Linked DNA regions of Danio rerio. The protein of the gene in region 3 purifies or fractionates together with the protein of the main gene of each other region. This does not show direct contact. Links are inferred from orthologs where the notes say so. Each region holds a gene or a part of one and is shown on either strand. Other genes may lie near its edges.

Region 1 (5,877 bases), on a different chromosome or scaffold from region 3:
ATATGATGAGTGATATCAGTGCCTGAAGTACCTTATGATTCCATGTACACCCTTTAAAAGGGCTCTTAGTACCAAATTTGCATTCATACTTGATCATTTTTGGTTTAAAATAAATACGAAGCAGTTTCAAGCCTCTGAAAAATGGAGGTTGGCATCTCCTCGTGTATTTTTGTTATATTATTATTTAAGAAAAAAGCATTTATAGGGTTCTTTCTGTCATAGCATCTATGATATACAAGTATATATATGATATACATACATTATATTATCAATCAATCGTATTAGTATAGCATTATAAACTTAACTTCTTCTAATAGCTATGTCCCTGATACACAAGTGATGATTATCAAAAGCATGTAAATGTAATTGTGGTGAGGGGGCGAGGCTGAGAGCCGTGGGAATGGAAAGAGGACAGTGCTTGAGTGAGAACGAGAAGCACCTGTGGCACACACTGACCTCAAGTTCCGCAGAGGAGCTCTGGATTATAAGAGCCAATGTAATGATGTTAAACAGCCTGTCGGGAAGGAGGAAGAGAACCGACGAAATTTAAATAATTTATTAAAGAGAAAAAAACATGCAGAGAGCAGCTCCTCATGGAGACTGCCGTTGAACTGAAAACAAACACAACGTAAATACGTCCAGGCCTGGTCCTCTCTCATCCTCCTCTGTCGTCACTCTTCCTCTTGTAATGCAGAGCTCCTCTGCGGGACTCAAGGCCAGTGTGTGCCACAGGTGCTTCTCTTTCTCACTCAAGTGCCGGCCTCATTCCATTCCCATAGCTCTCAGCCTCGCCCCCTCGCTGCTGTAATGTTTTAGAATGAAGTGACTGTCTGGGAAACAAGTTGTGAATATGTTGAATCTAAAGCTGAAGTACTGTTATGGGGTTTTATTTCCAAACCTACAGTGTTAATTTTGCAAAGAAAATATAAGGGCGAAAAATGTTTGCTGCCTATGCCTGGAAACAAACAGAAACTTGACAGCTCTGCTGCGCCAGTAATGTCCGTCCGTCCGTTCATTCATTTTCTTTTCAGCTTAGTACCTTTAATAATCTGGGGTCGCCACAGCAGAATCAACCGCCAAAGCGCGCATCAGATAGATGCTACGCTATCCCATGATGTACCGCGACAGATTTCATGAATGGGAGTGAAGCGATGCAACTGGCACTGGTAGGACACGTGATGATGACAAAATGGTGGATGTGCAGTAGTATGTCCGAGTTCAATTCATACTAATGACATTCATACTGTATAGGACGTACTTTTCTAACAGCTGAGTTGTACGTTTAAATTCAAATGCGGCACCTACTGAGTAGTTGACATTTTCAGACGCAATGATACAATTATTTGGTTTAGGCAATCCATCACTTTTGAGTTGGTTGGTAATTCACCTTTCTTTATCATAAATTTATATTAAAAGTTTTTGCAAATCTAAAATTTGAAATCCAAAATAATAAAATAAAATTTAGATTAAAAATAGATTAAAAATAAAAATAGATTCTGCATGCCAGGCTATTAGATCAACATGTCACTTTGTAAAGCAACATTTTACAAATGTAAAAACAGTGCTGTAGTCTGTCAGTGCATGTTTGGTTCATCCATACAGACTAAACACGTAATATGGATGTGAGTGGAGTCATTGTTTTTAAATAGTTTACGGTTGATAACAACGTTAAACTTGCACATTGAATTGCAAAACAAAAAAAAAAAGAAAGAATTGGGCTAAACTTTTTTTTAACTAAAACTAAATGTTTAGTCAAAAGCGGTTTCATGAAAACACACCGTGACAGGATAAAGCAATCGCAGTTCAAGATGGCAAGTAGGGCATCTCATATCTATATCAGGACCAAATCGCACACCTAAATCTTGTTCACTTGTGACCTAAAAGCTCTCACGCTACCGTTTTCACATTATAAAAGCAGAAACAGGACAATACTTATGGATACGGTGAAGTCTACGGTCATCTATTTACTTGTGCAATAGCGGCTTGAGTTGGAATGCTGTTCATGTCTTCAGATTCCTCTTGTCCATGACCAGTAACAGTCATAAAGTGAGGCAGATATTTGTTCAGTTCAAAAACAAGAAATCCCATCATCTTTTTTTATGTGATGTTTCTTGTTGGAGTGCTTGAGTGAACAAGAAAGAAAGTTGAAGGGTTGAGGACAGGACTCCACAAGAAGAAAAATCACCTAATACTTCCTAAATAAGCAGTTCACTTGGTCTTCGAGAACAGCTGCTGTTTTGTTCTGAAAACGCCACTTCACAGGAGCGTGAAAACAAACCGCACAGTGATATTCTTCCATATAGCCAGAATAAAAAGTCACAGATTTGATATTCTCATCGCATCTTGTCCTTAAAAAAAACCTTTGATGAGAAATGGCTGAAAACCCCCAACATGGAGACTTTTCAAAAGCAACGTTCAGTGTAATGTGATTGTTGCAAGGACACACAGTGACACAAAAAACGTACATGCAAATGGCGAGGGGAAAAAGGCGAGTGTTCTTTAGTGACCTCCTTCATCCCAGGAACAGTCGTTCTTTTGCTTGGCCAACTTTCTGACAACACGCTCCAGCTCCTTACGAGACTTCTGTTCCTCCTCCAGACACTGCTTCATCCATTTATTCTCCTACAAAATGTACAGCACCAGATGATCATGCTACTATCCTACTATCCTGGTTATAGTTTTGGCTGACAAAAATAATAATTCAAAATTTTACCTTTTTTAATTCATGGACTTCATCTTTCAAGGCATAAACGGCATCAACTAGACTTCTGCAAAACAGTACAATGCATTTTTTAGGTATGAACAACCAAGCAAATTAAACCAAAGGATAGTATATAATTTATCCTGTTTTTCTTTCGTTAATATTATTAAATACACATCAAAACCAAATGAAATATGTACAAAATCTATTTGCACAACAATGATAATGAAATAGTATTTAATATAACCCTTTAACTGTCAATAAGTATGTTTACATGGACACCAATAATACAGTATTAATACGATTAAGACAATACTCTGATTAAGAGTCAACCATGTAAACAGCCATTTTTTATTAATTTTATCTGATTAAGGTCATAATCAAAATAATCACAAATCAAACTAAAACATTTGAGTATGCCGATTTTAGAGGCATTATTGAAGTGCAATACAGAAATGTAAACATCTTAATCAAACTATAACTGTCATGCAGGATTTACGCCGCATTTTGCGACAGGATATATTATATACATATGGCTGTTTGACACTATTCTTTCATTAAAACAACACTCTTCCTCCATTTCATAGTTGCACCCAATATCTTGTTTGTTACAGGGGCATGCGTAAAATGCTCTTGAATGAACAAGTACTAAACAGCAGTTTAAGTTAACAAACTAAAAATGAAACTCTGGAAGAAATGTGGATAGTGTGGTGATGCAATGATGTTAATCGAATTATGTGTTATGACACGTAAAACAGGATCATGAAAGAAACATTTAAAAAGCAACTGTATTATTAAAAAGTTGTTTTTTTTTTAAAAAAGTTGTCTTATTCAGATTAAGGCAAATATTTATATTACTGATGTCCATGTAAATGTAGTCATTGTGACATCATTAGCAGTTTTCCATATGTTATTTTTAATACAGAACTCAGTCTTTGCTTAGTGGTGTCAGAAAACTTCAAAGAGACAAATGTTTTTTCTTAGACTGATTAAATTGTGGGTAAATAGGATAATTTAATACAATAATGAATATATAATTAAAATACTAATTATAACAAAAAAATGAACACTAAATAGATTTTATTTAAGCATAGTTAAACAAAAATGATTTAATAATGTAGCAATAAACTAGCAAAAACATATGCATATATTGTTTCTGGTTTAGCTTTTGGCTAATTGAAGATGTAATAAACACAGGGATCTTTTTTAAAGACAAAAGTTTAAATAATTGATCAAGTGACAAAATGGTATAAAAATGAGCCAGTTGTTGCTAATTAAAATATTTATATTTTTTTGTCAAATCATCCTATCAGGGCATCCTCAGTGAAAGCAAACATAAAAGTCTGTTATGAATAGAAATTTTCCTTGATCCTGCACTATTTCTAGGAAAATATCAACAATTTTGTTATAATTTTCATTAAAAATTGTATTAACAAGTAACAAATCATGTCACTTACAGTGTAAATATGATGTCAATTATCTGATACCTTTAATAGTTTACAAAACAATAATAAAATGTTTCATAAATCTGGCACTGAAAATTGATAATGTAGTAAAAATACTACAAAAATCAATGCTCATTCCTGCACATGTGAATTCTGATTAGATATAATCCATAGATATACTGTATAAACTAGATATCGAATACGGACCCTGAGCATGCATCAATACCGCCATTACATTGTACAGTGCTCCCAGGATTAAAGTCAATCAACAACACATAGTCAAGACTAAAATTAATCTGAAGATGCTGGTCTTTTGCACTGTGTAACTTTTGTGGGTGTAGTACAGAACAAACAAAGAAAACAAAACATGAAGACACTACATTTCATAGGTAAGATTTTGTTTTTTAAGTTTTTGTTTATGAACTTTTGTGCTCAACAAGTAACGTTATTGATGATAATACAGTCACTTACTACACTGATCATAAGGCAAAGTAGCACCAACTCGCACTAAAGGCTAGGCTTATGATAGTTTTGTTTAATAAAATCAGCAAACAATGCAAATGAAATATGATAACAAGATGCTGATGCCAGAAACTTTTAATTAAACTTTTATTATTGTCGGCTAAGTGAAGTAACAGCTAGTTTTGAAGAAACTTATATGGGTGCCTCATAACATAACAGTGCCTGCGCCTCAATGTGCAAACTGTCCACTGTAAATGATTGAATATTACAAATGTTATATACCATTTAGATCAGAAAGTCTAATAATGTCTTTATCAGAAAGAAATTTGGTCTGGATATGCACATTGGAACTCATGGATATAACGTTCATAATTTGGAATCATTCACAAATGAATCGCTCCCTCTGTTAGAATTAGAAGTGAAAGCGGGAGAGTGGGTGTGTTTCAGGAAATAAATTGGATCAAATTTAACAGGGAGGGAGGATAATACATTTTCATGCACACAAACATACACTCTTTGTTGGCAATGCCTGTGCGATCACTTATTCTTCGATGTAGAAAAGTGATGTCAAATTATAAATTTCATAATTTAAAAAAACATTTGCATACTGACCACTGGAAAAAACTCCTGATCATAGATATAAGTATAAATGTTTACATATCTATGCCTCCAGATGGCCAGTCCTTCGTTACACCTTGGTCCCACATTAATTTCAAAGGAGCGCTACACTGTACTAAAACGGCGGCTCTATTGATGCACTCCTTCCAATAGACAACAGCAGGGTAAGCAACATCTTATGTAAGTATATATGGAAATAGTTGGACATACTTCTCCTCAATGGTGGTCTGGCCATTGCTCTTGATATCCTCCACAATAATCTTCTCTTCTTCTGGAAGCAGGACCTGCGGGACGCACTCTTTACGAACAGCTGCGTGAGCAAATCAGTTTTTTTTTTAGCAAATTAATGCTATTGAATATTCAGTTACTTATACAACGCATATGACAATTACAGTACAGAACATAAAACCTGTGGTGGACTGGTGGAGACTGGCTCCTGTGCAGTAGGCCTCAATCACTTTGAGTATCTGGGCGTCCTCTTCTAGAGCTGCCGTACCTGCGAGACAAACAAACAATACATCATTGCTATTTGTTTGCAGATGCTAAAAGACAAGTTGGCAATGCCGCTTGTTGTTTTGATTAGGAAAAAAATCAAAAATTAATTCAAATGAAGCAGATTTGTCTTTTTTATTGACTGAACCTACTTTTTCT
Region 2 (6,083 bases), on a different chromosome or scaffold from region 3:
ATGTGTGTGTGTGTGTTTATATGTGTGTGTTTATATATGTGCCAGTGTGTGTGTGTCTGCCTGACCTATCAGTCTTGAGGAACAGGTTGCAGGGCAGCTCCTCCAGCTGGTTGTGTTGTAGATCCAGCACCTCCACCAGGGGGCGCTCCACCCGCTCCGACAGACGCTTCAGCTGATTGTGACCCGCCAGAATCTTCCTCAAACTCGAGCTGCACAATAACCTGCGGATACACACACACACACACGGGTCAAAATGTCACACACACAGGTCAACACTTCACACACACACACTCAGGCACTTCACACACTCACCATGGAGGAAGTTCCGTCATCTGATTGTGACTGATGTCCAGAACCTCCAGCTTCCTGCTGTCACTCAACCAGTCTGGAAGAGCCTTCATACAGTTCCTGGAGGAGAGAGAGAGAGAGAGAGAGAGAGGGGGGGGGGGGTTATTGGATGAGTGTATTATTGTTTTTTTATTTCACCAGCAGCCAGTAATGCGCTCAGGTGTGTGTTTGCTGTGATGTGTGTGAGGAAACACACCTGGAGATGTCGATGTACGTCAGGTTTGAGGCAGCAGGACTGACCAGAATCTCCTGCAACTCTAAGGAGGGCAACACACAGCATGAGGATCAGACGTGTGTGTGTGTGTATATGCATCTGAGTGAAAGTGTGCATATGCATGAGTGTGTGTGAGTGTATGTGTACTGTTGTTTGATGCGTGCAGAGCTTTGAGCATATATGTGTGTGTGTGTGTGTGTGTGTGTGTGTACCGTTGTTGGATGCGTGCAGAGCTTTGAGCGCAGCGCCGCACACGCGCAGCTGAGAGATGCGGTTCCTCTGGCAGTGCAGCACCTCCAGCCGGGGGAACACGGAGGCGTCCAGCTCCTGCAGACAGTTATCCCGCAGGTCCAGCTGAGTGACCCCGCGCAAGAACTCCGGCTCGTCCCGCAGCACACTGGAGATCTGATTCAGACTGAACACACACACACACACACACAGACACACACACACACACAAGCACAAGCATGCATAATCACTGCTAGAGCCTCGATCACATTATGATGCTGTGTGTGTGTGTGTGTGTGTGTGTGTGTGTGTGTGTGTGTGTGTGTGTGTGTGTGTGTGTGTGAGAACGATGACAAGATCTCTAATCCAGGGCTTCTTGTAGTTGTCAGAATAGCCATGTCCACTAAAGGAGCTCGAGCCTTCTCATATATGGCTCCTAAACTGTGGAATAGCCTTCCACAAACACACTTCATTGAACATGTACACATCATGTGATGATGATGATGATGGTGTGTGTGTGTGTGTGTGTGTGTGCTCACCGTAGGTCCACGTGTCTGACGGTGAGCAGTCTGAAGCTCTGCAGGTTGAGCTCTGTCAGTTTGTTTCCCGCCATGCAGAGCCTCTCGACCGCGGGCAGCCGCTCCAGCACCGGCGGAACCTGCTGGAACTCATTAAAGGACAGACCCAGAAACACCAGCCGGTGCAGAGAGCCCAGCTCCAGCGGCAGCGAACACAGCAGATTACCGTCCAGCACCAGCGTCTGCAGGCTACACACACACATACATCTGCATCAGCATCATCATCATCATCATCATCACACACACACACACACACACACACACACACACACACACACACACACACACACACACTCACACACACATCCGCATCATCATCACACACACACACACACAGCATCAGTTACAGCACAGCAGAGGGAGATGCAGGTTACGCAGTGTCCAGCAGAGGGCAGCACAGCACAGTCTCGTCAGCATTATTGGCTCTCCTGCTACTTTTAAATTCTTATATTTTCCCCAATTTGTGTTTAATGGAGGGAAATATTCAGCAGATAGTGTCAGCAGAATAATGGAGTGTCTGAGTAGACTGTTCCGCTTCACACACTGACACATCATCAGCTCATTTGAGAGAAACCCTGTCCTGTGTGCTTCAGCCTGCTGCTGTGTTTAATGGTTCTGCGTGAGTGCTGTACGCTCACGACACGGGTGTACATGTGCGCACGACACCACGCAGAAGTCATGATTAAGAGTGTATGGTTGTGTTAGTGAACGTGTGTGTGAGACCTGCTGATGCGGGCGATATCGGGGCTGATGGAGCGCAGGCGGTTGCAGCTCAGGTTGACTTCGCTCAGGCTGCTGATGGAGCAGAGCGCCTGCGGGAAACTGCACAGCTGATTATTGGAGAGATTCAGACTGCGCAGACGACTGAACCTGCGGAAACACACAGCAGAGACACACTTCAATAACAACACAACACACTCCACTATTAACACAACACACTCCACTATTAATACAACACACTCCGCTTATTATATGAATATTAAATGAGAAAACAGTGGGCGTGGCTTGTTTTTTCTACTGTGAGCTGATTGGCTGTGGTAAAGTGGGCGTTTCATTCAGAAGGATGTGGAGAAGGGTTTGGGGAGAGTTATTCCAGCATTGTCACACCATTTCTGCTTGTTGTCATAGCGATGTCCAAACTGACAGCTGGAGGGGCGTGGCTGTGTTAGTTGCATTATGACATCATTTTCCTTTGGCTTAGTCCCTTTACTCATCAGGGGTCGCCACAGCAGAATGAACCGCCAACTACTGCAGCATATATTTTACACAGCGGATGCCCTTTCAGCTGCAACCCAGTACTGGGAAACACCCATACACACTCATTCACACACACACTCATACACTACGGCCAGTGTAGTTGATCAGTTCCCCTATAGCGCATGTGTGTGGACTGAAACCGGAGCACCCGGAGGAAACCCACACCAACACAGGGAGAACATGCAAACTCCACACAGAAACACACAATGACCAAGCCGGGACTCAAACCAGCAACCTGATTGCTGTGAGGTGACAGTGCTGAGTCGCCTAGTCAGATCATTGTCATCAGAAATCTACACAGTGGACCCTTAATCAGAGTGTTGTCATGCTACAGTGGGAGTGTTGGTGTCCTCGTGACCCCTGACTGACCTCTGGAGCTGCAGCAGCGTCTGGTCGGCAGGAAGGAAGTTGTGTTTGAGGTTGAGGTGCGTCAGATCCTGACTGAACAGCAGGTTTGGAGGAAGCTTCTCCAGACTACAGCAGGACAGATCCACTGAGCTGATCCTCTGAGACACCATCTGATGGACACACACACACACACACACACACACACACACACACACACACACACACACACATTACTACACATATATGAACATCACTACACATACACGGACGCACACACACACACAGTAAAACAATAATAATAACACTATTGAAATGCAGTGTTGTTTTTAGTAGTTGTGCGCTGGATGACACCTCTGGCAGTATCTCTTGAGTCACAGGTGTATGATCAGGTGATCTGCAGTCAGCCAATCAGCAGGTGTGTATGCAGTAATCCCTCCCGCAGTCTCTGCTGCTAATCTGAGGCTCCCGGCGCGCACTGCCCTGCCCTACTTGTGTTGCTTCAGGATGCTGCCTTCATAGTGAAGCGTGCTAAAGTAGGACTCACAACTAGGGCTTCCACACACACACACACGCACGCACACATACACACGCACGCGCACACACACACACACATCTCCCTGATGGAGCGATGGGTGTCCTTGTCAGGACAAACCGCGACCAATGACAGACCTTTTCACAGCCGACCAATCAGGAGCCACATGCTAATGAGCAGGCGCACACACACAATGCTGAGAGTGTTAGCTATTACTGCACAGAATATAATTAAATCTGCTAACTTATGCAGAATGATTTCAGGAGGACAGAAAACTTAAAAATAATCACATAATAATTTATTACTGATGTTTTACATTAAATTTAAATTGTAAAATGCAAATCCAATTACATCTATATGTTTGGTACACATAGCAAGTCGCACACAGCATGCAATCTGACCAATCAGAGCAGAGTAATGCTATTTGACCAATCAGAGCAGAGTAATGCAATCTGACCAATCAGAGCAGAGTAATGCTATTTGACCAATCAGAGCAGAGTAATGCAATCTGACCAATCAGAGCAGAGTAATGCAATCTGACCAATCAGAGCAGAGTAATACTATTTGACCAATCAGAGCAGAGGAATGGTATTTGACCAATCAGAGCAGAGTAATGCAATCTGACCAATCAGAGCAGAGTAATGCTATCTGACCAATCAGAGCAGAGTAATGCAATCTGACCAATCAGAGTAGTGCAATCTGACCAATCAGAGCAGAGTAAAGCTATCTGACCAATCAGAGCAGAGTAATGCAATCTGACCAATCAGAGCAGAGTAATGCAATCTGACCAATCAGAGCAGAGTAATGCTATTTGACCAATCAGAGCAGAGGAATGGTATTTGACCAATCAGAGCAGAGTAATGCAATCTGACCAATCAGAGCAGAGTAATGCTATCTGACCAATCAGAGCAGAGGAATGGTATTTGACCAATCAGAGCAGAGTAATGCAATCTGACCAATCAGAGCAGAGTAATGCTATCTGACCAATCAGAGCAGAGGAATGGTATTTGACCAATCAGAGCAGAGTAATGCAATCTGACCAATCAGAGCAGAGTAATGCTATCTGACCAATCAGAGCAGAGGAATGGTATTTGACCAATCAGAGCAGAGTAATGCAATCTGACCAATCAGAGCAGAGTAATGCAATCTGACCAATCAGAGCAGAGTAATGCTATCTGACCAATCAGAGCAGAGTAATGAAATCTGACCAATCAGAGCAGAGTAATGCAATCTGACCAATGAAAACAAAGCAGTGCAATAGTGACATCAGCACTGTCCTCATGATTCACCTCATGTTCTGTAATACCAGTGTCATACAGCATGACATTATACAAGTTTGTAAACATGTGCGCACACACACACACACACAGACACACACACACACACACAGACACACACAGACACACACACACACACACACACACACACACTGACCTTCGCAGCCTGCCGGTGCCAGCGCAGGTGTTCAGTGAAGCTGTCGAAGCTGATATAGTAGGTCTGACTCTGAGGACCCGCCGAGCTGAAGGCCAGACAGTGGCTGTGTTTCTTCACCTCCTCCACCTGCACACACACACACACACACAAACACACACACATCATCATCATCAGACAGGATCACCAGCTCACTGCTGCTGCAGATTATCCTACACTACAGTAAGCAGTGGAGTCTCGCAGGACCATTAATGAACACAAGGATGATGAATATGAACACAGCACCGGACACAAGAGCTGCAGTACACCTACACATGAGCGAGCTGTACATCTACTGCACATACTGAACTCCACACTTACCCTGACACAGACTACTCATGTACACAAGACAGAAGAGTATTGTGCAGGATATTGTCCACAAGAGCTGCTGAAGGCTGAAGTAAACACTACTGAGTGCCTGTGAGCTGTATTAGAGCCGTGTGTTTCCTGCAGTGTCAAGCAGCTCTGACTGTGACGCTCACCTCTGTCTGTGCAGCTCTATGTGGAAAACAGCAAACACACTAGCCGGACACACTACTGACTTCCAGTTGATCATCAAGTGTCACAAGGTGGATTTCTATCTGCTGATCTGCATCCCAATCATCACCAATACTGCAGAAGACCAACTGGAACCAGCATAGACCAAGATTCTCACAGAAATCAGTCAAGTTTGGTAAAGGAGAAGTCATGGTTTGGGGTTCAGTCAGTATGGGGGCGTGCGAGAGATCTGCAACATCAACAGCCTGAGCTATCAAGACATTTGGAGAAGAACCACAGGATGACAGGAGAGGGACAATTCTCCAGCAGGATAGCGCTCCTCCTCATACTTCAGCCTCCACATCAAAGGATTGGCCAGCCCAGTCACCAGATATCAACATTATTGAGCATGAAGGAGGAGGCGTTGAAGATGAACATGAAGAATCTTGATGAGAGTCCTGAAAGAACTCTTGGTGTGTCCCGGCTCTTCCTCTGTCCTCATCGTGCACTCATTATGAGTGTTTAATAAAGTTAATATGTATAATAATAATAATAATAATAATACGCAGGGTTCAGTACCTTTCCTCCAATCAGGGGCAGGATGTGCATCTTCCCCGTATGGCTGGCCTTC
Region 3 (6,083 bases):
ACAATAAACCAATCAGAGTCTCATCTCTTATTCCCTTTAGGAGTCAGTTGTGTCACACCATATCACATTTGATAAGGAATGAGCTTCCTCCTATAGGCCTAAACTTGCACTTTCTCTTTCCTCGTGGATAAGGAAATATGGTGTACGCACAGACATCCATTAGCCTACATAGTTAATTTGTTTGTTAAGAGCAAAGATTTGTCAAACTATTTCTAAATTCAGTTCTAATTTCCAGCAAACGAATAAATAAACAATAATAATGAAGTGTGTTCAAACAACTGATTTATTTCCAAAACACATGCTGTCCCCCAAATAGTCTAAAACCTGACATGTGGGCAAATCTAAGCTTGTTTTTAATAAAACAAATATAAATATGCATTAATAAATAATACTGATAATAATATTAACATTATACAAAAGCAAATTGTCATGGGCAATTGTTATCGTCTATGGGCGCATATATGAGCGCAAATGCATTTGCTATTTAAACAGTGTGGCGCAAAACGTCAAAATGACACTTGCGTCAAGCTGAAACTAGCAAATAACATTTGCATCGCGCCTTGCGCCGCATTGCGCCTGGTGTATGATAGGGCCTGGAGTGTTTATAAGAAAGTGTCTGGTGCATATGGAGAAGAAAAGGAAACTTTTTTTCTCTAGTTTAAAGATAGATTTTCAGATATGGTTGTATGAGAATATGTGTGTTGTTGTGGTCTGACCTCTATGAGTCTGTCCTGTGGTTTGAGTCCGGCGCGATCAGCGGGCGATCCAGGGTCCAGCGCCCGAATGTACTGACCCGGTTTAGACTTCTCGCTGTGCAGATTGAAGCCGTAACCCGTGTCAGAGCGAACCAGGAAACAGAGCCTCGGGACAAGCTCAGATGGATCCCGCGTCGAGGATTCTGATGAGGGCTGAACATCCTGTCAAAGGAGAAATACAGACATTTATGATATCTTCATACATTTAGAATGCTTTCACGCTGCAATATTTGATGAGCACCCAGGATTGTTTGACATCAGAGTTCAGTTTGTTTGGTTAATGTGAACGCTGTCTTCTGAACTCAGGAGCACACCCACAAACTAGGGATGTAACGGTATTGTAAATACCGTCATACCGCAATATTAATTTTTTTCGATATTACCGTAGTCGCATGACTCGGTAAAACTTTAGGTCTTCTGAAAAAATTTGCTCAGGCGAATGAAGCGAATGGGAGGTACCGGAACCTACAATTCCCATCATCCCTTGCGGTCTGTTGTCGCTACAGATCCAGTAATGCGGAAATGGAGTGTGCTGCTAGAAGCGGGGATCAAAAAGAGCTGAAAAACTCTAAAGCGGGTGTTGTCGCCGCGCGCGTACTGAATAGTGGTGTTGTCGCGCGAGTTCTTATCAGCTGTGTTGTCGTGCGCGTACTGAATAGCCGTGTTGTCGCGCGAGTTCTTATCAGCTGTGTTGTCGCGCGCGTACTGTAAAGCGGGGACGGAGGGTATGTCGCGTCGCGGGGGCACTTTTGATCATTTTGGAAGGGAACTTTCTATCCAAGACTAAAAAGGGCATGTGCACTGCACAGGTTAAGCAATGTGTGTGCACGTGCCTGTAAGTTGGGGAATACGACTAATATCATGGGGACTGCAGAAACACAGCACACTGTTCAGATTGATGCAGACATGAGACCTCTATCTCACTCATGGTTTGTCCTCTCAAGTGGGGGAAAGACAATGCACAACGTTACCCACTGCTGTCAACCTGGGCCAAGTCATGTTTCTGTCCCAGAAACCTCAGTCCCAAATGAGAGGGTTTTTTCTGTTGCAGGGGACATTGTAAATACCCAGAGATACCAGCTTTTACCAGATTATATTTATATGATAATTTTCCTTTAAACCCATCTCTATCTAAGTGAGTGAGTGATTAAATGTTGAATGTGATGAGTTTTCAACACTACTAAATTGAAACTTAATTTTTTTACATGGTTTAATATTTTTTTGTTATTAAAATTGAAGTTCCTGTTTCAAAGCTTACAGATAGATGACTAATTTGTATGTCATTGACACTTTTGGCACTTTTTTGGAGTATTTTCATAAGTTTTGTTTTTTCCTGTAAATGATTCAATAAATACCATACCGTGACATTCATACCGAGGTATTACCGTACCGTGAAATTCTGATACCGTTACATCCCTACCACAAACTATACCCGCGTCTGTTTGAAAAGTGCATTATGGTTTACTTCAGATGTGAACATGATCCATCGAATCATTGAAGTAGGGATGGGTATCGTTAAGGTTTTATACGTATTACTACTTTTTTTGATAGCACTTATCGGTTTGGTACTTTAACAGTTCTCTAATCGGTACTTTTTGCAGTAAAAAAAAAAAACACAAAAAAACTAATTGAACAGAATTAACAACACTTAATTTATTATTACATTTTTAAAAGTAAAATAAAATGAAACCAATAACTGTAAAACATAAATACATTTTTTCCTGTAAAAAAAAATAGCACAATGATTTAAAGGAAAATGACTAAACATGTTTGTCTTTTCTGGCAGAATTCGGGATCTACCTTGATTTATTGTGTTCCCTGCAGTTAAAAATGGCCTCTTTGATTTGCAAAATGCAGTTAAACGATATAATGTTTTTGATTTTTTATTAACACATTCATATAAATGAGTAAACAGTGTTTCATTACTTTTCATTGCAGTTATTGCACGTTTGAAAGATACATTCACTTGCTTGTGTTGGTCACCTGAGAGGGGCACCTCAGCCAATGAGGGCAGAGTGGCAGAGGCTCTAGCCACCGAGCCACACCCCTGTGCAAGGCCCTGGCTGGGAATCTCAATTCATTTCAATTTAAAGTGACAGTCACCAAAACGTAACTATTTGAATCAAAGCTAACACGGTCAGTCAAAGAGTTAACCACGAGTATATCTGATAATGAAGCTGATCATAAGAGATCTGGAGAACCTGGAACAGCGTCCCTGGATCTGGATTGCATGATACAGAAGCAACACGAGTTAAGTCAGTCACAGAACATGACGTAGGAGCTAACTTCTTGAAGATTAGACAGAGTTTTCACTTGGAAGTGAACTGAAATGGCACTTAGAGAGTTGATGTGAGGTCTTTCTCTTTCAGACAAAATAAATCAAAGTGATGCATACAATAATAAAAGAGAAGTAAGGAACCAATTGCAGTCTAACAAAATCGTCTGCAGTCACATATCGACACCTGTCCATCGGCAGTAAGAGTCCCCGGTAACCAGACCAGTTATAGCATCGCACTGTTATTTGTGGGTCATTTGCATCACTCTACTTGCATTGTATTTTCATTACCTCACACAATGAACATTATATATATTGGTCAAAACAAATGACAACTACGGCACAGCAGATAACAGTAAATATATTATTATCATTATTATTATTACTAGTTATTACTGATTAAATTATTTTCTTATTAATTTAAATTTTTTTTTTGTTGTGTTCATCTTGTTTTGTGTTGAAAAATTCCAATCTTCACAAATCTCTTTATTTTTCATAATAAAGTAAGATGAAAAAATAAACAAATTAGAAATTGATAATTAATAATATAATTAATTTCTTGTGGAAAACTTAATGCGGCCCAGCCTTAAGCAAACTCGGCCTCCAGCTGCCCTTGGGTAAATTGACCCCTGTTTTAGGAGGTATATTGAGCTGAAACTTCATGTACACACTCTAGGGACATCAGAGACTTATTTTGCATTTCGTAAAAAGCGGCACAATAGGTCCTCTTTAAGGGCCCTATCATACACCCGGCGCAGTGTGGCGCAGTAGTCTTTTGGTAGTTTCAGCTTGGCGCAAGAGTCGTTTTGAGGCGTTGCGCTATGCTGTTTAAATAGCAAATGCATTAGCGCTCATTTTTGCGCCCATAGGTGTTCTGGTCTAAAAAGGAAGGCGTTCTGAGGTGGACCGCTGGCGCGTTGCTATTTTGAGAAACTATAATAGATTTTACATTAGACCAAAACTAACCCGGTCTAAACTCCGGCGCAGAGTTGCGCCTCGCTTACACACTGCTTAATACACACAAGAGAGCAATAGGCAAATATCTTTACATATGAAAAAATTTAAATATTAAGGATATATATAGTATATAATAAGAATAGATATAGAATATAAATATAAAGGATTAAAATATTACAAAACATAATTTTTTAGCCTAAAAAAATATGAAAAATCACTGCTTTTATGTCGTCTTCATCTCGGGAGGCTTTTTCAGTTCATTCATAACAATTTTCTTTTGTATAATGTTATTATTATTAGCAGTATTATTTAATATATCCATATTTATATTTGTTTTATTAAAAACAAGCTTAGATTTGCCCACCTGTCACGTTTTAGACCATATGGGGCACAGCATGTGTTTTAGGATATAACTCAGGTTTTTGAGCACATTTTGCTATTTTTATTCATTTATTCGTTTGCTGGAAATTAGAACTGAATTTAGAAATAGTTTTGAAATGAATATTTGCGCTTAACAAACAAAAGTATTTATTTATAGATTAATTGATGTCTGTGCGTAAAGGTTTCCCTATCCAAGAGCGAAAGTGAAAGTAGATCGATTATCTCTCATTCTCACGCAGTAGATGCTCTGTTCAACAGTTTTCTGTTAAAAAACTGTTAACTGTTAGCTAGTGAAATGCTCAGTTTTTCCACTTAGACTTACTTTGCGTCCTGTAAATAGCGAATGCGCTCTTGGCGCGACGCAGCTGACTCTTAAAGGGAATGGAAGATGAGACTCTAATTGGTTTATTTTCAAAACACACCTATAACTCATTAAGAAAATAAACTCAACCCTTTTAGACCATGCGCCGCGGCGCAAGGCAGATTTCCCGTCCTTAAATTAGCAAAAACGCGTCCAGACACGCCCTGAAAGCATTTGCGCCCTGCGTTTTGCGCTCTGTCCATGGACCGTCAAAATAGTGCCCTATAAGTGTAATTAGTACCTAAAATGTGTACCTTATGGCATCTAAAATGTACAAAAGTTTTAGCTAGTTTATTGCACAGTTTGTACTTTCTTCGGTTGCACCACTTTCATAAGGCAGAACGTAGTTAGTAGGTCATAAGCTCTCCAGAAAACAATGCACAGATGCACTGAATGACGTGATACCCAATCAGAAGGCTTCGAATTGTTAAATGGGATGAAATTCGAATGAACTAAAACTAAAAAAAAACAAATAGTCATCGAAATCAAAACATTAAACTTACACATGAAAGAGAAAAAGAACAGGTAGAAAAACTCAGTCAGGAAGTTTAATTCTTATTTTAATTGAGATATACACAAACAAAATAAAACATTCCGTATAAAATATGTACTTTTCTGTCACAAATAAAAATAAATAAAATAAAAGCAAAAAACCATGAGCAGAGGGAGATGAGGGAAGTGAGAGTTTGTAGTTCTTCAATATCAATCGTGAGCACATCGCTGTAATTAATTTTGCTGTTGACTCTTTTCTACTGTTAAACATACACAGAGGCTTCAGAAAGCTACATTTAGCGTTACATATTAACTAATATCAATGGTGCATTACTAAACTACTAGTGTGTAACTTGTGTCACAACTAAGCTAAGTTTTAACTTACGCACAACTGGTGCAACCAGCCCTTGATTATCAATCCAATGCTCAAACAGCACAGAAATTATAGTAATAACACAAAATGAATTGCATGTGTGTGGAATATTGTTGAAAATGCTTTCTCAACAAATTCCACTATTTCCACTTTAAGGTTATGAAAATTCCCTTATTAAAATGTGCACAATCTGCCACAGACTTCTAAAAAGACACAAGCCACAAAATCCGCCATTTATCCAAGACTGAGATTGTAAAAAAAATTGCACAAATGTGCCCTTAAGGACAATGTTTGACAATAGAGTTCACCTGGGATATCGAGAGCAAGGTCATCAGAGGAACAAAAAGCACTGCATTATCAGCCTGCGCAAACACGAGCGAAAATAATAATCCCCATAGCCATAGAAACCATAATAATGTGTGACAATCATCATAATCAGTTTAAAAGGAATTTCTACACAGGTTAAGTGATTTAACATTGTCATCTGAC
Region 4 (6,083 bases), about 33 Mb from region 3:
GTTAAGACATTTGAGACCATTCAGAATCAAGTTTTAGACTCATAAAGGGCTAGACTCAAAAGGAATTTCAAATTAGACCCATCAAAAAATATAATAATTTAATACAATACTAAAATTAATAATATAAAATCAAATATTTTACATATTTTTAAGCAAAACATCTGAAAGACTGTAAAAACAAGCAAGCTATACTTTTTATCTTTACACTGTTTTTCCAATAAACTTTTTTTAAAGTTAAAAATCAAAATGAACAAATGTTTTAAAAGTTTAAAAACTCTAATAAACTAAATCTATGCACAACAGTTTGTCCAGAGATGGATAGATTGTATGGGTGTTGGCCAGATTGGATAGCAATTCAGGAACAAAGGAAAGTTAAGACCTACAACACAATATTTCAGTAAATTAAGGATTTTAAAATTTGGATTTTATGAAACCACAGAAACCCTGTCAAGCTTAAAAGTAAAATTTTTGGCATTTTATATAATCAATATTTTATGTTAGAAATGCAAATATTTATTATGCATTATTATTATTATATTTTTTATTACAACTGATTTTAGATTTCTACATTCCTACATCAAACATTTGCCCAAAGTTAAAAAAAATAATCACATATGAAGGAGTACAAACGTGAGTATATACTTTAAAAAGTATTTTATATGTGGTCAATATTACATGATTGAATATATTATGATATATTGTTATCAGTATATGAGATGACTTTTATTGTGATATAAGATTTTTCACATCGCCCAGCAGAACATACAATTACTAAACACAAATTACAAAGGCATTACTTGAACATCTACCTAGGTGCAAACTCCAAACCAAAACGTCGTCTCTTGCAAATGTGCTTCATTCAAAACAAAGTCCAAGATAAAAAGGCAAACCCAAATAGTAACATGTAAATTAGTGAATTGTAAATTTGCTGAATTGCCAAGCCCTACTACTTAGCATCTTTTTACTGTTTATATATAGACGTGTGACCTCAACAGCGTGAAAAGAGGAAGTAACAGGAGATTTTCACTTAAAAGAAGAGCAGAGCATCATATTATTTCTCATTTGTTTGTTTAACATTATGTCAGCTTCTATAGTTATTTATTTATTTTTAATTTTTTGGGAGAAAAATCATAATACTGTTATAAATGATATTAAACTTGTACAATTTATTTTTGGGCTAAAGACCCTAAAACTGTTTTTGGATTAACAGTGTTAAAGATCACCTCAAAAGGATAAAATAAGTTAGAAAATATGGTTGAAAAAGAGTACATTTAAATAAATAAAATAAAATCATCTTACCTGAGCGGTCTTACAATCCCTCTCCCTGATTTTGTCTTTGACCAGTTTAATCAGTGAAGTGATATTGTAGAATTCAGCCTCTTCCAGCACACCTGGGGAACATTTCACTGATTAAATAATAAACCATAAACCGCATATCAGACTACAAAAACAGCTAACAAACAAGTTAAAACTGAATTTAGCCGTCAGTTAAACAACAGAAAAAATCTTAAAGCATGTCTGAACGTATCCTAAAGTTCCTGTCATACCTTCCTCTGCCAGGCCTCTGTTCAGCACCAGCTTCCCATGTCTCAAATAGTTGAGCACTGGACCAAAATAAGTGGGATCTCGGTCTATCAAATAAGCACCCGTTTCATCCTAGAAGAGAAAACAGCATTTTTAGAAACACAGTATTGACCTCTGAAGAATTTTAGCATGACAAACATCATTTATACAACTGAGGACTATGAAAGTGGAGCTTGCAGTAGGTTTGTATTTTATAAATATAACAAATACTATACGCAATAAAGCACATTCAATTATTTTAACCACGTTATTACATTGTAATATACACGCTATTACAATACAAAATACTGTTTCATATCAGTTTCTCCACAATAATGTACATCTATATAATACAGCTGTAAATAAAATACCACTACTATTATTACAGTGGGTATCGTTGAGCTATTAACAGTATTATCAATTTTATCGATACCATTTATCGGTTCGGTACTTTAACAGTTCTCTTATTGGTACTTTTTGTAGTGTTCTTTTACCGAAAATACAAAAAACTATTTGAACAGAATTAACAACACTTTACACAATCACGTTTTTATTGTAAAATAAAACAAAACCAATAATTGTAAAACAAATATATATTTTTTTTTTCTGTAAAAAAATGAAGAGAAAAAAAAACTTTCTGGAGAAAAATCAACATGTTTGCCTTTTCTGACAGAAGTCGGATCTTTCTTGGTTTATTGTGTTTCCAATCCCTGCAGTTGAAAATGCCCTCTTTGAGTTGTAAAATGCAGTTAAATGAGAATGTTTATGATTTTTCATTAACGCATTCACAAAAATGAGTTAACAGTGTTTTGAGAGTTACCCGTGTTTTAATGAAGTTTTGAAGCATCTTGCAATGTAAAAAATTTTTTCTTAATAAGCATAGTTCATTATTAGGCTATATTTGCTATAAGCATAGTTTATTATTAGGCTATATTTATGAATAATAGGCTATATTTGTAAATACAGCTGATGTAAAAACATTTTTAATGTATATACAAAATACTGTTGTCATTGTAAACAAATGTGTGTGTTTATTTAACTATTAATATCATACTAATTTAGGTGATCGACTGCTGGCATAATAATGTGGATGATGTAACACGTTAGCGTTATTAGCTAGGCAGTCAAAAACTTTTCATTAGCCGTTCTGCAGTTAATGCCTTTTTGAAAGATACTTTGTTGCAATGAGCATTGTCGCTGTCCACTCGGGATGCTACTGTAAGTAATGTTTATTCAGCAATAATTCTCCAGTATCGATAGCAGAACCGTTAACATCAAAGCTTATCGATACTTCTGTCTTTTATAATGTAGCACTGATACCTATAAAGTACAGAGTTTTGGTACCCATTCCTAACTACTAATAATATAAACTTTATTTTAAATAATTATGCCACAAATCATCTTAAATGTTTCACTGTTAACATTGAATAAAACTAAATTTGATAAAGTAAAACATTTCAAAGGGTTCCTTAAGTTAAACTAAATAAATTTCATGATCAATTAAAGGGACAGATCACAAAAAAATATATTTATAGTTTGAGTTTGTCTTCTGTTAAACAAAAAAGAAGATATCTTGAAGAATGTTGAAAACCTGCAATCACTGACATCCATAGTATCTGTATGTATATGTATATATATATATATATATATATATATATATATATATATATATATATATATATATATATATATATATATATATATATATATATATATATATATATATATACAGCTGAAGTCAGAATTATTAGCCCTCCTGAATTATAAGTGACCCTTCTCTCCCCAATTTCTGTTTAATGGAAGTAAGATTTGTTCAACTCATTTTTAAACATAACACATTTAATAACTCATTTCTAATAAATGATTTATTTTATCTTTGCTATGATGAAAGTAAATAGTATTTTACTACATATTATTAAGATATTCCGCTTAAAATTACATTTTAAGGCTTAACTAGGTTAATAAGGAAAGTCATTGTAGAACTGTAGTTTTTTTTATATTGCTTAAGCGGATTAATAGTGATCTTAAAATGGTCAAAAAATAAATGTAAACCTTTTTTTATTCTACCCAAGACAAAACAAATTATACTTTCTCCAGAAGAAACAAATATTATAGAAAATGCGGCAAAAGAAAATCCTGAATCTGTTAAACATCATTTGGGAAAATGATTATTAAAAAGAAAAAATAACAGGAGGGCAAATAATTTTTACTTCAACTGTACATTTGTTTAGAATAATTGTGATTACAATCATGACCAAAATAATCGTTATTATGATTTTCCCATAATCGAGCAGCCCTACAGTCTTAACTAATGTTTTAAAATATTTGACCTTGTTTGGCATATTTCACCCAAAAACTAAGAATCACCTTTGATTTGTTCTAAACCAGTTTGCGAGTCTTCTGTTGCACGCAAAATAAGTTAAAGAAAGCTGAAAATCTGTAACCATTCCCATCCTTAACAAATACTATGAAAGTGAATAATTACAGGTTTCCAACATTCTTTAAAATATCTTTATTATTCTGAAACAAGTCAAAGGTGAGTAAATCAATCCATGAATCTGATTATTGTCCAATCCAGTCATATAAATGTGCTGGCAAATCACAACCACATGACTTTTTACAGTCAGCAGATTCCAGATTGACCCATACTGTTTGTTCTGTAATCTGACAAAATTAATCATGTGAAATGACATCCTCTAAACTACTTCTGTTTTACAAAATGTTTACAAATCACAAACTATTTTCTATTTGCATTCTGCTACATTATCACTGCCGTAGTCTGAGATTGAATAGAAAACAATGCGAGTAAACATTTATTATGCAGTGACAATTTTTAGAAAATTAAATATATATTTTGTTATTTTTAACCTATAGGATGAATGCAAACCTTCTGCAGCTCCAAATCTGGCTTCAATGCCTCTGGATCTTTGTTCGAAGGAATTTTCAAGTAATGGCAAACAGTGGTTGATGGATACAGAAGCGTGTCTGTTAAGAAAAGGTGTGGCTGACATTTAACATACATGCAGCAGAGCCCATAGGGACGCTGATCCATCTCCAGCACAACATCATTACCACAGATCGATACCGAGGTCAGAAAAGTCAGCTTTATTCCACAGCGTTCACGCTCGCATTAAAGCGTTCAGGAGAGCGACCTTTACAGTTAAGTCACGCAAATTCAACCTTGTGATAGGGAAATTAATTTGGAAGAAATATTTTTGGACAGAAGAAATTCTTTGTCTATTTAGCGGCTTTCAAATGTCGTTGCCCTAATAAATGATGCATAGTGACCTTTAAAAGTTTAAAGGCATGCAGGCAACCCCATTTCTTCTTGTGACACATGGAAGAAACTGAAGGATTTATTAAAAACACTGATGCTGGAGGATAATAAATAATAATAATAATAATAATAATAATAATAATAATAATAATAATAAGAAGAAGAAGAAGAAGAAGAAGAAGAAGAAAATATATATAAATATAAATATAAATATATATTTATATATATATATATATATATATATATATATATATATATATATATATATATATATATATATATATATATATATATATATATATATATAACCAGTTTATTTGTGTGCTAATTGTTTTGCAGATCAATTATTATTTTTTAAAAAGATTAAGCCAATTATTGCAATTGGAAAAAATAAAAAAAGCATTCATAAGAATGACATTTACATCACAAAGAATGAAAAATAAATGTTATGAGATGAATGTAAAATATTCAGTGCTGTCAAATTATTAATCGCATACAAGATAACAGTTCGTATTTACATAATATATGCATGTGTAGTGTGTATATTTGTGTATGTATAAATACACACATGCTGTACAAAGTACAAATTAAATATATTTAAAAAAATTATACATAGTTGAAGTCAGAATTATTAGCCCCCTTTTGAATTTTTTTTTCTTTTTTAAATATTTCCTAACAGATGTTTAACAGAGCAAGGGAATTTTCACAGTACGTCTGATAATTTTTTTTTTTTCTGGAGAAAGTCTTATTTGTTTTATTTCGGCTAGAATAAAAGCAGTTTTGAATTTTTTTTAAATCCATTTTAGGGACAAAATTATTACCCCCTTTAAGCATTTTTTTTTTCAATAGTCTACAGACCAAACCATTGTTATACAATAACTTGCCTAATTACCCTAACCTGCCTAGTTAACCTAATTAACCCAGTTCAGCCTTTAAATGTCACTTTAAGCTGTATAGAAGTGTCTTGAAAAATATCTAGTCAATAATTATTTACTGTCATCATGGCAAAGATTAAATAAATCAGTTATTAGAGATGAGTTATTAAAACTATTATGTTTAAAAATGTGTTGAAAAAAATTATCTCCGTTAAACAGAAAAAAAATAAACATGGGGGCTAATAATTCAGATGCATACACAAATATTTTACACAACAGTTATGACATAGTTATAACACAGGCAGTATGCACATATATTTTATAAATCTGAACTTTTTTTTTAATGTGATTAATCATTTGACAGAACT
Region 5 (6,602 bases), on a different chromosome or scaffold from region 3:
CTAAGCGTGTATTTTTATGCAATGTTTGATACCGCAAGGCGAATGAGAGAAAAAAAAACTCCCGGAAACTTAGAAGCAAACGGAAGGTAGCGTCAGAAAGCCACGTGTGTTATTCCAGTCACAAAATCCTACATGAGGTTATAGTTTGGTTGTAGTGCTAACTTGTTTACACTCGGTGCAATAGTTTTTTCGATACGAATAAAATACGAACTGAATAAACAAAGAGCACTGGTCGCTTACTTACCAAATCTGTAGAGACAGGACAATCCACAGCAACTAGAGCCACGTCTTTATTAAGATGAGACTACAAGTTTGCAGATGAGAACACACAACGTGGCGTCTATGTTGTCTAAACACTGTGACAGTAATGAATATTAATGAAGTTGCACAATAGGGCACGCTGATTGGTTTTAACCAAGCTTTACTCATGCATTAATGCATCACACTGTAAGACGTAATAAGACACACTCTGGCACAGACGTCAAGTCTGCACGCTGGAATACAATGCTATTATGTCATGACCGTGACGCTGCTTCAAAAATTTGTTTCAAACAGGAAGTACGAATTTGCTTGAAATAACGCAAAAACAACCAATTTACACTTTTTAGTGAAATATAGGTGTCCTAATAGTGTTTTTAGCAGTGTGGGACACATATACGACTGTCAACAGCTCAAAAAATGTGTTTTGGTGTTTCGTGACCCTTTAAGCTACTAATTTGCAATTTACTAAATTTGCAATTTACTAAGCTACTAATTTACAAATTGCAATGAGGTTTTTTAAAATAAAGTGTTAAGAAAATAAAAGATTTAATAAACAAAGGATCACAGAAAAGAGTTTACTTCCATGGCAGAATAAGGTGAACACAATCTATTCAAGATTTTATAGAATGGACATTTTAACAAAGTGTAATATTGCATTTTCACAGTTACCAACACCATAACTAGTAATCATCATAATCTGTTGTTTAAAATGTAATCTACATTCAAAACATTGCACTTTGCATTTTATTACCTGGCATTAATATACAGTTTTTTTTATTATTATTACAGATGTTGACTGCTGCATGAATGTTTTACTGGATAAAGAGCAAATTTGATGAATCATTGTTTTTTTCTTTCTATTGGGGTAAATAAAAAAATCCAAAGCTATATTTATTCAGTTTTTTAGTTGTTCCGTTTCGTTTATAATTTTATAGAAATATTTAACCCATGCAGTGCAACTCAACTATTCTAACTTTGGTTTCAGAAAAGCCTGGAGATGATTTCATGATTAATTTGTGGTTGCTATAGTGTTGTTAAGGCATTCTGAGAAGTTTAGCCTGTTGCTTTGTGGATTACAGAGAATTATGGACATAGATAGCCCATGTATACTCAGATGCCACATGATGACACCATCTATGATCCATGCGATGCCACTAACAGTACATTTAAGAAGCTTAACACTTTCCAGGATGCAAAACATTATGCAACCTCTGACTGCTAAACTGACTGCATTCTAGCATCCCTATAAAAAGTGATTATGTTTTAACTCAACATTACGTGTATTTAAATATAAATGTTGCGGCACAGGGGCTCAATGGTTAGCACTGTCACCTCACAGCAAGAAGGTCGCTGGTTCAACTCCTGGCTGGCCAGTTGGCAATTTTGTGTGGAGTTTGCATGTTCTGCCTGTGTTTGCGTGTTTTAGTTTCCCCGTGTTTGGGTTTCCTCTTGGTGCTCTCGTTTCCCCCACAGTCCAAAGACATGCGGTACAGGTGAATTGAGTAAACTAAAGCCATAGTGTATGAGGATGTGTGTGTGTGTGAGAGAATGAGTGTGTAAGGGGGTTTCCCAGTACTGGGTTGCAGCTGGAAAGGCATCCGCTGCATAAAACATATGCTGGAATAGTTGACGGTTCATTCTTCTGTGTTGGCCACTGATGAAGAATGGATTAAGCCAAAGGAAAATTAATGAATATAAATTTTTGTCATCGTTAGCTTGTCTTGTGTTACGACTCAAGCTTTTTGCGAATGTAGATATTTATGAATGGTTTAAACTACAGTTGCAGATGCACAGTCAACTTGCCATCAAATGTTTACATACTGGATTACATATAAAGACCAATTTAGTGGCCCATAGAAACGGCTAACAGCATACATATATTTCTGCATAATAAAAAGAGCCCATCCTCACAAGTTGATATGATGAATGATTGTACATATGTGAATGGGGGTTACTTTTATATCAAGCAACAGAACTGCCATTTTTTATAGAAATTATCGCTGGAAACTAACCTAGCTATATATATATGTATACCGTTTTTGTTTTATGTAACAAAAATAATAATAATAATAATAAAAAATATATATATTTATATATATATATATATATATATATATATATATATATATATATATATATATATATATATATATTTTATTATTATTATTTTTTCTTTTTTGTGTATGTATGTATGTGTATGTATATGTACACATATAAATACATACATTTTTTAATGTGTGTGTGTAGATAGATAGATAGATAGATAGATAGATAGATAGATAGATAGATAGATAGATAGATAGATAGATAGATAGATAGATAGATAGATAGATAGATAGATAGATAGATTCAGGTTTAAATCACAACTCGTAACATGACATTAGCCACACCTGTTACATAAAACAAAAACGATTATTCTAAAATCTTACATTGCTGTGTGAAGAATGATGCCCCATATGGTTTTGCGGAAGTATTTTGGCGGAAGCTACGGTTACCATGGCAATTATTGTCAGGCTACCGATTCCACTTCATAAGTCCGGTAAACGGGAAAAACACCAATTTTATCTATATTTCAAAGAGGGAAGAATGAATCCACAGCACATAAACTTTCAAATTCACATCCCCGATCGCCATTGCAGCATCATCTGAGCTGTGATGATGAAGGAGCCAGGAGGCGGTGTCTGATCAGAGCCCAACATTAAACATATCTGACGTCTATATCTCCATCATCATCATCATCCTCGCCTCTCAATGTCCAAATAACTCTTTGCATTTCCGTGCTATCGCTTTTTCCTCAAATTCACGTTTTTCGCTCGTTTACCCTCTGAACGTCTTTAGGGATCTGAAGTTTGCCTCAGTTTTGCGCAACCGGTGTGTGAACTCGTGTGTGAAACAGCCCGATCCGATCGCTGTCCACCAGGCGTAATTGTGTTGACAACAGGGGATTCATATGAGCGTACCTCCGGTAATCCGACCGCCGAGCCCCCTCCCGGGGTCGCAAGGCATTTCTTTCCAAATCCAGATCGGGTTGAGCCGGGAACCCGTCCTGCTGGACTCCGGCGAGTTCAGCCTGGCGCAAGTCCGAGAGATGGCATGCTCCATCGTGGACCAGAAGGTAACACTTTCCATAATCCTCATGTTTCATTCATTGTCGTTCACGTAAAAATGCCACAGATTTCATCACCCTGAACAAGAAGTGGCGGTCCGGAGTTTGGAAATAGCCCAACTTTTAGCCCACTTGTTACTTAAGCATTTATGGGAATTTGGAATTTCGTTCCAACCTCACATGATGTTAAGTTACGACGAACTTGAATGCTTTATTAAAATATTGCTTTTCATAGGCTATATCATCCGTTTATGTCTATAAATTTATGAGCCTATTATATTTAGTAATGTATAATTTAGGATTCTGCTACAGGTTCACAACTGAGCTGTAAACTTTCAAAAGGCAGAAAATTGCATTGAAATTGTTTTTAATTACTGATAGAACATTATTTACTTCATAACCTGAATCAGCTGAAACACACTGAATGTGTAGCGTCATTAAGTGTTCTGCATTGTATTTTCCATTGACAGTGATGACGTTTTGTAGCCTACTTATTGAGCCAGTGAGGGGCTTGTAGCCTACTGGAACACAGCATCACTGCACTGCAGGCCTGTCTCTTGTGCTGAAACCTTTCAAAATATTTAGTGGATTTTGTCCTCAAGTTGTTGCTTCCATGATATTTGGAAAATCTCATTATAGTAGATGTGTATGTTACAGTGTATATCAGGGCAAGTAAGGACTTTTTTTTGCCTCACCAGTATAATGTGGCATTGAACCAAAATTTTGGTTATTAATTAAACAGAATAATGTGAGAACTGTTTAATCAAACAGATTAAATTGATTGAATATACCAAGCTAAAGCATAATAACTGCTGCTAAGTGCTTTTCTGCTTTTCTAATAAAGCAATGTCAAATTTACACTAGAAGTTCATAAATATCAGTTATGAAATTGGCATTGAAAAGATCACCCAAAAATAATGTCAAAGGTGACATTCACCCTCAATATAACATTATTGATGATTTTTAGCTGGAATAGTCTTCTTTGATTCATAACATGCAAGTCATACTGACTGACTGTTTACACAGTTCACGCTCAGGACCATTTACAATGGCTGTGGATTGAAAGTAATTATGCTCAGTTTTTTAAACAGAAGCTATGGAGTTGTGTAGATTTGCTGTATATCTTTTCACTCTTGAAGTGCTGATTGGCTTGAAATTTATCAATAACCAAATTCACATCTTGGATAGTCTAAGGATGAGAATTAATAACAGATTTTCAATTCTGCTGGAACTATCCACCAAAAAGCAATTGATTTCTGCTGAGTGGTATAATAGGTGATCTAACAGAATGTTAACTTGAAATGGAGCTTGTAGAATAAATGCTGTGAAAATATGGTTTCTATATTACTACTAGAAATATAATGTATATAAGTTTCTACTTGAAATAAAGCGTTTCCCAAATCCATCATTCCGACGAACAATCGCAAACTGCATCGCAGACTTGTATGCTTGTAATTACACCTCTAGAGCTGATGTTATAAGCATAGTTCCTGGATGTGTTCTATTCCAAGTTATCCCCCCCATGCCCTATTCCTTTCGAACGTTCCATCATTCAAAGTTGGAATCATTAAAAAAAAAGCATTAATGTCATCTCTCTTAGGTGCAGTTTAGTTTCAAATATTTTTGCAGTTTAGTTTTAGCAATCTTTACATTGACAATTGCGTTCCCTTTTTAATGCACTTTGAAAACATTGATGCCACTTTGAACGCAGCCGAGGCTCATGATGAAAGCTATAGGTGACCTATTATTTAAAAACAGAACTTAGGTTTGGTCTCTGAAGCTTGTGGAAACAAAAATATATAGCAAACGTTAATGCTTTTAATTTATAATAGGTTATTTACTAAGAAATGTATCTGTACTGTATATGACATGGGTCTGTTGGTTAGAACATTTCTGCAGTGGTTTGAATGTGTCGTTGTAAAAGCAGACTTTACTATGCATCTTACTATAATAGTTCAGCCGCAAGTTATGTTGTGGTTTGGGAAACAAACCCCTGTTCATTAAAAAGTGGCTTATATTTGTTTTTCCTCACAAAAGTAACTATAGAAGACTTGAAATATAAGAGAAGGGAGCATAGGTAAATATAGTTTTACCTATCTTCAAAATTGGTCCTCTGACAGGACTGGGTGATTAATCGAAAAGCAATCAAATCCACATTCAGAACCTATAATCGTTCTAATTTTTCCAGGTCAATTGTTTACATTACTTTTCCTAGCTCTTTTTTTTGACTGTTCTTTTTAGGCAATGTGTGTTTAGATTTCAGTTGTTCAATGTTGATGTTCAATAAACAATCAGAGATAGTAGATAGTGTGCGTTTCTTTCAACTATTTTAAAATCAAGTATGCACCCTTCATTTTAATATAATATGTGAGCATATTTACAGTACATAACTTGTCAGTGAACTATAAGGGCAAAAAATAAAAAAACAAAATAATCATTCATTATTGTAATTGAGTTAAATTTGAGATTTAGATTTTAGGCCAAATCGCCTAGCTAGGCATGGGCAGGTATAAGATTCTAATGGTATGATAACCTTGGATATAATATCACGGTTTTACAGTATCTCAATATTGTAATTACTGCTCTAAAACTATTTATATTTTAAATGTCTGGGTAAAAAAAACAACTTTTTCCCCTTTGTACACAATATATTTTAATTTGGGAAACATTTAAAATATTTTGGAACAGTAAACATATCAGGCTAAATGAATTATTGACTTCTGCTGTCTTCATCTTTTGGGATCTTTTCTGCTGAGATACTGCTGTCCTAAAAAACTAAAAAAAAATTTAAAATCTTATTAATACCTTAGGAATGGTATAGCAGAAAATTTTGACGGTTTTAAAACCTTTACTTTTCGAAAACCGCGGTATACCTTGAACATTAACGATATCCCCTGCCTTTAACCTATTTAAGTATGAACATTGAAAGCGTTGGGTGTAGTTGTGTTAAATAAGCATTCTGATAAAAAATGAATATGGCGTATAGTTGTTGTTTTTTCCTTTAAAGCATTTGGAATACCATGAAGGTGAAAGTCAAAGCTGAAAACATGTGAACTCACAAGCACTTAAGAGTAATGATAAAGTTCAAGCCTTCTCTGTAGATTCGCGTTCTCAGAAATGGCATAACAGTGACAACACAGAAGTCAAATTGTCACCACCCCTTTTAAATGCACAGAAGATGGCATCTGTAAAGTTATTAATATCTTTTTTTTGCAAAATGTGTTTTCTGTTTCGT

The links.
Region 1: the proteins of Na(+)/H(+) exchange regulatory cofactor NHE-RF2 (region 3) and arhgef6 purify together in Homo sapiens (affinity purification with mass spectrometry; 3 studies listed by BioGRID and IntAct, with this or other methods). This does not show direct contact. The link is inferred for Danio rerio from reciprocal best matches to the Homo sapiens genes NHERF2 and ARHGEF6.
Region 2: the proteins of Na(+)/H(+) exchange regulatory cofactor NHE-RF2 (region 3) and phlpp1 purify together in Homo sapiens (affinity purification with mass spectrometry; 3 studies listed by BioGRID and IntAct, with this or other methods). This does not show direct contact. The link is inferred for Danio rerio from reciprocal best matches to the Homo sapiens genes NHERF2 and PHLPP1.
Region 4: the proteins of Na(+)/H(+) exchange regulatory cofactor NHE-RF2 (region 3) and kctd5a purify together in Homo sapiens (affinity purification with mass spectrometry; 3 studies listed by BioGRID and IntAct, with this or other methods). This does not show direct contact. The link is inferred for Danio rerio from reciprocal best matches to the Homo sapiens genes NHERF2 and KCTD5.
Region 5: the proteins of Na(+)/H(+) exchange regulatory cofactor NHE-RF2 (region 3) and prkd1 purify together in Homo sapiens (affinity purification with mass spectrometry; 3 studies listed by BioGRID and IntAct, with this or other methods). This does not show direct contact. The link is inferred for Danio rerio from reciprocal best matches to the Homo sapiens genes NHERF2 and PRKD1.

What each region holds. Positions count from the first base shown.
Region 1 is NC_133189.1:36,326,299-36,332,175, forward strand, and holds part of arhgef6 (rho guanine nucleotide exchange factor 6), read right to left. Parts: coding exon 5,871-5,877; intron 5,723-5,870; coding exon 5,624-5,722; intron 5,537-5,623; coding exon 5,437-5,536; intron 2,769-5,436; coding exon 2,714-2,768; intron 2,623-2,713; coding exon 2,500-2,622; 3' UTR 1-2,499. UniProt on the Homo sapiens protein: Acts as a RAC1 guanine nucleotide exchange factor (GEF).
Region 2 is NC_133177.1:279,268-285,350, reverse strand, and holds part of phlpp1 (PH domain leucine-rich repeat-containing protein phosphatase 1), read right to left. Parts: coding exon 6,032-6,083; intron 5,066-6,031; coding exon 4,940-5,065; intron 3,144-4,939; coding exon 2,995-3,143; intron 2,239-2,994; coding exon 2,092-2,238; intron 1,558-2,091; coding exon 1,330-1,557; intron 978-1,329; coding exon 775-977; intron 606-774; coding exon 545-605; intron 409-544; coding exon 313-408; intron 222-312; coding exon 66-221; intron 1-65. UniProt on the Homo sapiens protein: Protein phosphatase involved in regulation of Akt and PKC signaling.
Region 3 is NC_133178.1:11,850,614-11,856,696, reverse strand, and holds part of Na(+)/H(+) exchange regulatory cofactor NHE-RF2, read right to left. Parts: intron 918-6,083; coding exon 717-917; intron 1-716.
Region 4 is NC_133178.1:44,423,972-44,430,054, forward strand, and holds part of kctd5a (BTB/POZ domain-containing protein KCTD5a), read right to left. Parts: intron 1,657-6,083; coding exon 1,548-1,656; intron 1,392-1,547; coding exon 1,300-1,391; intron 1-1,299. UniProt on the Homo sapiens protein: Its interaction with CUL3 suggests that it may act as a substrate adapter in some E3 ligase complex. Does not affect the function of Kv channel Kv2.1/KCNB1, Kv1.2/KCNA2, Kv4.2/KCND2 and Kv3.4/KCNC4.
Region 5 is NC_133192.1:30,381,338-30,387,939, forward strand, and holds the start of prkd1 (serine/threonine-protein kinase D1), read left to right. Parts: upstream 1-3,030; 5' UTR 3,031-3,211; coding exon 3,212-3,376; exon of another isoform or gene 3,377-3,454; intron 3,455-6,602.